2 linked regions of the Oryzias latipes genome follow. The protein of the gene in region 2 purifies or fractionates together with the protein of the main gene of each other region. This does not show direct contact. Links are inferred from orthologs where the notes say so. Each region holds a gene or a part of one and is shown on either strand. Other genes may lie near its edges.

What was found.
Region 1: the proteins of polr3b (region 2) and pfdn2 purify together in Homo sapiens (affinity purification with mass spectrometry; 3 studies listed by BioGRID and IntAct, with this or other methods). This does not show direct contact. The link is inferred for Oryzias latipes from reciprocal best matches to the Homo sapiens genes POLR3B and PFDN2.

What each region holds. Positions count from the first base shown.
Region 1 is NC_019876.2:18,973,762-18,977,946, reverse strand, and holds the start of pfdn2 (prefoldin subunit 2), read right to left. Parts: upstream 2,856-4,185; 5' UTR 2,845-2,855; coding exon 2,734-2,844; intron 482-2,733; coding exon 393-481; intron 165-392; coding exon 41-164; intron 1-40. UniProt on the Homo sapiens protein: Binds specifically to cytosolic chaperonin (c-CPN) and transfers target proteins to it. Binds to nascent polypeptide chain and promotes folding in an environment in which there are many competing pathways for nonnative proteins.
Region 2 is NC_019864.2:21,469,315-21,473,408, reverse strand, and holds the start of polr3b (DNA-directed RNA polymerase III subunit RPC2), read right to left. Parts: upstream 2,847-4,094; 5' UTR 2,730-2,846; coding exon 2,604-2,729; intron 2,384-2,603; coding exon 2,351-2,383; intron 1,673-2,350; coding exon 1,616-1,672; intron 1,534-1,615; coding exon 1,469-1,533; intron 1,396-1,468; coding exon 1,320-1,395; intron 61-1,319; coding exon 1-60. UniProt on the Homo sapiens protein: Catalytic core component of RNA polymerase III (Pol III), a DNA-dependent RNA polymerase which synthesizes small non-coding RNAs using the four ribonucleoside triphosphates as substrates.

The DNA.
Region 1 (4,185 bases), on a different chromosome or scaffold from region 2:
TGTGATAAATGTTAAAGAGCTTTTATTTGTTTATTTTCACCTGTTCTTTGTTGTTTTCCAAAGCAGGTAGAACTTCTTTCACCGTCCTCTCTACCAAAACCCCTCCAACCAGGCGATAGCATTTCCTAGAAGGGTCCACTTCCTTAAGAGTTTCAATAACTAAACTGAACACAAAAAGAAAAAAACATTAAAATTATTACTCTTTTACCACTTACCAGTTATGTGACGAGGTGAGTTACAAGATGTTTTTCTTTTTTAAGTTTAATGTATATAAAGTAAAAAGGTCAATTTAACTACAGACCAACATGATCCAATTAGCTGTCCTGCTAACAATCAAACATAAAAAGTGAGTATTATAAAAGCTCTCAGAGGAGAAGTCATCAGCTGCTAACCTGTGCTCATTGATGTCCATCTCCAGCTCTGCAGCTTTAGACGCCATGCTGCGTTGTTCCTGACGCATCCTCTGAAAGGTGGCAACCACCTGAAAACATCACCGCAAAGCTGGCATCAATGCAGACCAATGACATTTGACGCATCCGTCTGATCCCAACACAAGCATGTAAGCTGTTTCAGACTGAGGGGCTTTCAGGCTGAATAAACTTACCAAACCTTAAAAGGAAATTGTGACTTTAGAGAGTTTTTTTTTTTACCCAGTCCCTTTTGATCCAGTCCGCTTAATTTGTTCCGGACCGAGTTCCGAACCTTGCGTTAGGCCTTTATCAGACTGGCGTTAAGCGCCCCATTCTGTTAGCGACCAAAGCTTATAAACAAAACAATGTGACTAAAGATCTCTTCAGTCATTGGCCAGGAACTACGAGGGCAGATCAAAACAAGAGAAATGTGGACGTGTGCCGCTTAACAGTTAAATTATTAAAATTTTATATTTTTTTCGATTATCAGTTTTGAACGTCGGGAACAAGCCTTTTTATTTGTTACTTTGGTACGGCAAAGGCATGCTGCGAAGCGGTCAGTGGCAAGGAGACGTGCTGTGTGTGCTTTAACTCAGAGCATGCTAGTAACTGCATTGATGACGAGACGTCGGGTATGAGTAGGCTGCCACGCTCTCTCCTCTCTGAGGGGCAACCGCATGGTTGCGATAAAGAGCCCTGGAGTTTGGCCTGAATAGAGCCGTCACCACAAATATTAATCAAATCGGTGACTTCGCTTCCCTTCCACTGACTGGTCTCAGCAGCATCGTCCGCCATTGGTTGATGTTTATGTTCTTGTTCCCGCCTACTTCAACGAAAAATGATGATGTTTGCAGCGTATCAATGACGTACGGGTCGGATTCATGTGGCCTGGACGTTCAGACGGAGGTCGCATTTGAAATGATCGGATACATATCGGATTCAGGACCACATACGCAAGTGGCCTGGGTCGCATTTGAAAAGATCGGATCTGTGTCGTTCAGACTGTCATGAAAAGATCAGATACAGGTCGCATAGGGGCAAAAAACAATCAGAATTGTGTCATTTCAGCCTGCAGTGAGATACAATGTGTTTCCCATTAAAAATGATTTTAATTAGCCTGCATTCATCTGACCACATTTCAATGAGTTGCTGTGTCTCATCATTGTGGTTTTAGGGCATTGTTTTTAGAGAATTCTGTTAAGGAAACTATAATATAGCTTTTAGTCATGCCACAGGCGAATGCCGCGTAACAAGATACAGAAAAGCATGCAAGTAGCCTTTTCAGCAATGTTAAAATAAACGTTCTAACAAATAAACACTTGAACTCTTTTTTTCTGTTTGATAACACGATAATAATTGCTTATTTGTCCGCGGCTCATCTGTAGCCACATTCCTACTCTGTTTATGTCAGCTATGGTGGCCATTTAGGTTCAGTGGTATTCAGATTGAGGAATCTTAGAGCGAACCCGAGCTCAATCTGATTGGAAATTAACCAAGACCACCTGCAAAGATGGGTCAAGGTCCCAGACCTTAAAGTGAACTCTGGTTCAATTTAAGCAGACCAAATGCATAACCTTCTCCATGTTAATGATTTCAAATTGTTTTACTTTTTTTATATATAATGTATGTACCATTTTTTTTAGCTTTACTTTCTTTTTTCAATCAAGAGCAATTTATAACTTAGAATATGACTTCCTAATATGACTTAATTCACAGTATTCTTTGAACCTGTATGAAAATATTTAATTTTGACCCCAAAATTTTTTGAAGTTCATATGTATTTTTAATGTTATTTTTCAACAAACATCGAATAAAGATTAATACATTTCAACATTTGCCATTTTTATGCTAATTTGTTCCTATAGTGTGTCTACATGTTATTGTCTATCACTAAGACGTCGCTTTATACTAATAATTTGGCAACGTGTTGAAACAGTTTTTTTCTTATATGAAAGGCTTCCGTAGCCCTTGAGCTGTGCATAGTTGTTGACTGTCTGAGTAGTAAAAATAGCATCATCATGCTCTGTCAGACCCATTCTGAGGGCCACACCACCCACATACAGAATGGTGTACCTTTAGTTTATCTTTGACGTTATCCCATTCCATGATGTGCAAATAGCACAAATTGGACCTAATTTCATGCTCACAATTTCTTTCCCCTCGCATGGGTCTGACTGCAAGACACTTCTGTGGCCACGGGGAAGCTAACGTTAGCGCTGACTGGCTGTACGTCGGTTTAGTTACTTTCTGCTGAATATATACGAATAATATGTCACAATCTCAGGAGTACCGAGACAAAAGACTCCGCTACTCAATAGGATACCTGTTCGGCTGACTGCGCGGGCTGTTTTCCAGCCGCGCTGCTGCTCGATTTGCTGAACGTGCTGCTGTTGGCTGCCATCTTGATAGAGTGCACTTGAAGGACCCGACCCATGTGAAAGTTTTTTTTCACAGGCAGAGGCAGTCTCATGACTGCCTGTGTAAAAATACATCTCTAAATTCCTTTACCACTCACTACACAGTGCACTATACAGTGCGTTCGCAATTTTGTAATGCTGTCCGAATCTACAATTTCAAAATCCAGTTCCTAAGAAATTTCTCGGAAGTCTCTGCAAATTAACCAGTGTGCATCGACGCTCATTAAATTGGCCAACATAGATCAATGACAATGCATTGCGTTTTGAACATTTTTTGCGAAAACAATGTGTTGAAATGCTTTTTTTTAAACAATCAATATTTTTTTTATTTCAAGTACGCAATGAATTAATAAATAGTTGTTGTAAATTGCTTGTATTTACGACGGAGTATGTATTGATCAGATTTTCACTTCGTGAAATCGGTAACGTTATATTTCCCGTTTTAAAAAAAGAAAAAAAATAGTGAGGATGGTGTCCTAATTGCTTTTAAAACCCACGACACTATATCGTTTTTAGTAGTTGGTGATTAGGTTGGAAATTCGGACACAGCACTAAGATCAAATTGATCCTTTTTTTTAAAATGGGAAACAAGTTAAATTTCTATCTGCCCCCCACAACTGTAAGTAAGTAAGTAAGTAAGTAAGTAAGTAAGTAAGTAAGTAAGTAAGTAAGTAAGTAAGTAAGTAAGTAAGTAAGTAAGTAAATAAGTAAATAAGTAAATAAGTAAATAAGTAAATAAGTAAATAAGTAAGTAAGTAAGTAAGTAAGTGGGTAAGTTAGTAAGTAAGTAAGTAAGTAAGTAAAGGCTTATTTGATCAGCTAACAATTGATTTCTACCACGGGGTTTCACTAGATTGTGCATTGGCCAATTAGAAACTAAAATGCATTATTATTATTATTATTTTGCACATGTTTTACCATAAAATCCAAGTAGAGTACACAAGTGTAACATGTAAACATTTTCCCTCGAACAAATCAAAGGATAAAACAGTTTAACTTCTTTTAACAGAATAATCAGCCTGACATGCTACAATGACATAAAATTTAAAGAAAGAAAGGCATTTCTAATTTTAAAAAGTTTCTGCTAATTAGAAATGATCATTTCAAAAGCTTTGGGTAGTCTAACTGTTTTATTTATTTATTTTTTCATTTTCAGCTAAAATGTTCAACTTTTTCCTGTAGAGACCAAATGTATATCACTTCGCTGCATAACAATTTGACCCTATGTGATTGTTGCCACAGTGTGATAGCAAACAGCTTCTGGTATAATATTAACCAACCTTTTCTGTATGTATTTTTAAAAAAAGTCTTTCATTTAAAAATAAAATGAAATACCAAAAACTTTTTTTAAATATCTC
Region 2 (4,094 bases):
ACGAGTGTATTCTATGTCCACTGTGATGGGTGCCGAGTAGGTCATGTCCCTGAGGCGACACTAAGGAAACAAAGCAAGAGCTTGAAAGTGTTAATGAGAAATCTATACATTGTTTTGTTTTTTTAATAAAGAAAAAATGATTTAATTCATAAAAATTTCACTTTCTTCAGTTTAAATCCTTTTTTATGTGAACATTGTTTTTCACTACAAAATAAAATTGGTTAGAAAATTGGAATAATGAATCCGCATGAAACAGAATCATAAACTAGTGAATCCAAATTAAAGTACTATGGCAGTACTGTGGGTGACAGTGGCTAAGGCGGTTGAGCAGGTTGTCCAATGATCTAAGAGTCGGCGGTTCAATCCCCGCTCCCCCCAGCCAACTGTCGTTGTGTCCTCCTTGCCTCCAGTGCAGCTCCACTGGTGAGTGAATGTGTATGAATGATCCCGGTGATGGTCAGAGGGGGCTGTAGGCCTCTGTCCGTCTGCCCCAGGGCAGCTGTGGCTACATCAGTAGCTTACCATCACCAAGTATAAATGAATAATGGACAAACTGTAAGCGCTTTGAGCGTCTGGAAAAACGCAGATAAATCCAATCAATTATTATTATAGTGATAATCTGCCATACAGTGAGCTTTTATTATTTTATTTTATAGGTTCTGAATGAATCTAAAATCAAACAAAAAGTATTGTTTTGATTTTTCTTGAGCCATTGAATGTGGCATAAATTATAAACTACTGAAATGTTATGAGCCAAAGATGCTTACATTTTTGTAATATTATCGTTTGTAACAGAGAAGATGTTGTGATTTACTCAAAGCTTTAGGGAAATTAAAGTGGAAGGTAAAATTGGACTTAAATAATCTTTTACTTTATTTCTACAAAGATAGACCACACAATTTTTTAAGCTTCTTCCTTAAATGGGATCATCTTGTATGTCTGGAAAACTGCACAAATATTGAGCCTATTATCTAATTTATTAAAATTCGGCCAACTGTTTCCAGAATTTCCTACTTATGGACCTTCTAATTGCTGCTGATGGCACCATTAATAGCTTCATGTTTATATTTTCAATCATTAATTCAAACCTGTAGTGTTTTAAATTTAAGACATTTTCAAAAACACAGAAGTGATTTTAGTTTCTAATTTAGACATAAAAATGTATTTATTTCCAAATTTCAATGCAGAAGGATATGGAGAGCATGTATTTAAGTCTTTAGGGCTGTTCAAAATTGCAAAATATTTATTTTCAATTGCATTAATCTAAGATAGGTATATTTAAAGAAAAAAATTATACAGAAATCGGCTGCCTTTCTCACCTCATGAGGAGAGACGGGTCTGGTAACGTTGAAGCTTTCTTCCACATCAGGCATGCCGACATAGATATTTAGATATCTGCAGGGGGTAAAAAATGTGTTGGATATTTGCTATCAGGAAGTTCGGTTTGAATTTCTGTCATTGAACCTACTTCAGGTACCACATGGGATCAGCATCACTGGTGATTTTCTCATTTGCTTTCATGATCTTCTTTATCTGAAAAGGAAGACGTTTGAACAGAAGTGCAAGGACAAACACAGCAAATGTGGCAAACGCTGATGCGGGGATAGAGCCTCACCTCCACATTGATGAAATAGTTGAAGGAGTCGATGTGCTGCTTCACCAAACCCTTCACCTGCAGAACACACAGAAGATCGAACGTAGGCAGAGACAAGAAGAAATACTGATGCTAAAGCATTCAAACAGCAGTCAACTATGCATATCAAAATAATGCTGTTTTTAAAAGATGTTAATGTTTTTCTATATGGTCTCAATTAAATTCTAACATTTTGGTCTGGTTTTACTGTTTAAAAACTTGACAAGGTTAAAACATTTCTGACATCACAAAAATATGAGACATTTGTGGGCCAACACCCTAAAACACCCTAAAATCTATGAAAAGCCGAGCTTTATGCAAACATTGGATATGGTTTTTTAAATTGTTTTTTTTTTACTTGAGATTACAAAAAGATTAAAATTTTATGGAGCCGATTCCCACATCTCAGTTTTAAAGACTCAGTCTATAAATATATGTGGTTTGTCATCTTCATAATAACAACAACAACAATAATAATATTTATTAAAGTAATAGGATGTTTTAAAAACAACGCAAAATGTTTGAATCTTAAACTATAAAAAGAGATCGGATCATGGACAGAACCCTTTTTTTTTAGGATTTCTGAAGTGCTTGCATTTGCATGATTATTGAAGTTCTCTGATTAATTTTAATTATTAGGGCTTTATAGTAGCATAAAAATGCTCAAAATGAATCAAAAAGACTTTCACATGTCCTCAGCCACCCAAACATTATTACCTTCAAAAAGGCTGGTAACAGCTTCCATTTATCCTGTCAATAAAGAAAAAGATGACAGAGAGAGACAGAGCAGAAATTATGAAGAACTAGCAATGAATGAATTAGTCATTTCCTATAGGAACATCATTTGAATTCATTAGAAGTTTATTTATGGCTCGTGAAACAGACTCGTAAGAAATAAGAACATCAACAAGAATCACAACTTTTACTTTGTTGATTCCACCATGAAACTAACACACGCGCACCACCTCACCGCATTGACTCGTCTCGAGGGGCCAAATTGTGTGTTGTTTTTACGCAAACTCACAGCCACGGTGTTGACAGGAGCCGCCAACTCCTGGGGAGTCATGTCTCCAAATTCTTCACCGAGGACCTCCATGGTTAACAATAGCTGGTTAACCTTTAACTCATAAATAAAACAGTCTTACACCGACTGCTGCTGGAAAACCAACGTTCCGTGTATCGCAGTAAAGCATCCGTACATTCGAGGAGGAACGAAAGAAAGGTTCCGCGTGTTTGTCTTTTTCTTTCACTCCCGGTGTTTTGCACTTTTGGGTGGGTACTGCTGCCCCCTAGTGTTGTGGAAGGGTCCCTGCCCGGCTCTGTCTGTTAGTTGCAGTAAGTGCAGAAAAAACGTAAAAGACATATTGAACAACAATTCAAATTGAATCACTGTTTTCATCAGATAGACAAAAAAGGAGATGAAATTACTCAGTCTGTTAGTTTGTGACCGTCAGCAAAGCACAGAGGAGCCGCGGAGTTATAGGCTCCTTTCAGCTATTAGGCTGTTTAACAAATCTGCCTGATATGAACTGCTTTTTTTATGAACTGTTATTTTATTGTTATTTATTGTGTGTGTTTTGCTGCCAGACACCTGAGTATCTCCCTTGGGAGATTAATAAAGTTCATTTTATCTATCTATGGGACATCCTGGGACATCCTCCTTCGTTAGTCAAGTTCTAGTTTCACCTCACTGTCAGTTTCTGTATTAAATTTATCAAATGTTCCAAGGGATTCATAAATATCATATTCATGGTATAATGTTCAGACTATTGTGCATGTGATGACTTACACAATGAAATGATGCTGACTCATTTTGGAGAGAACAACCATTAGACTGAGAATCAACAATCAGTTTAGATCAACAAGATCTATTCACTTGGAAATTGTGCTAAATGAAGGCTACCTGTACTTAATCAATTGCAAAGATGTACTGAGACATTGAGACAAGTACTAAGACATTTGCAATTTGATGAAACTAATGAGAAATTCCATTCTGCTGTGAACAATTGCAGAGTGGTTTGGAAGTTTGTCCATGTTGTTTTGAGAATGTAATTTCTGTTTCAAGAAATGAGCCAAACCAATGGAGAAAAACTGTAATAAGAATGGTTTTGCAATCATAGTTGCTCAATATTTTACAAGAAAAATTGTATGAAGTAATCCATGGAATGCGAGCCGCCTAGTGGGCCAGTTTTGGTAAGCAGAACTGGCGCTGCAGGATGAACCGACCTGCATGCATGTATGCATGCATGCATACATACATGCATACATACATACATACATACATACAGTTAGATATTAACTCTGTTTGTGATTGATATATTTAATTTAGTTTTGCTTTCATACAACCCTCTGCATTTATCCGGACTTGGGACCGGCACAAGAGAGTTGGATTGTGCTCCCCTGTGGTTGCATTACATTCTTTCTTTCATTGATTCATTCATTCATACATTCATTGATTGAC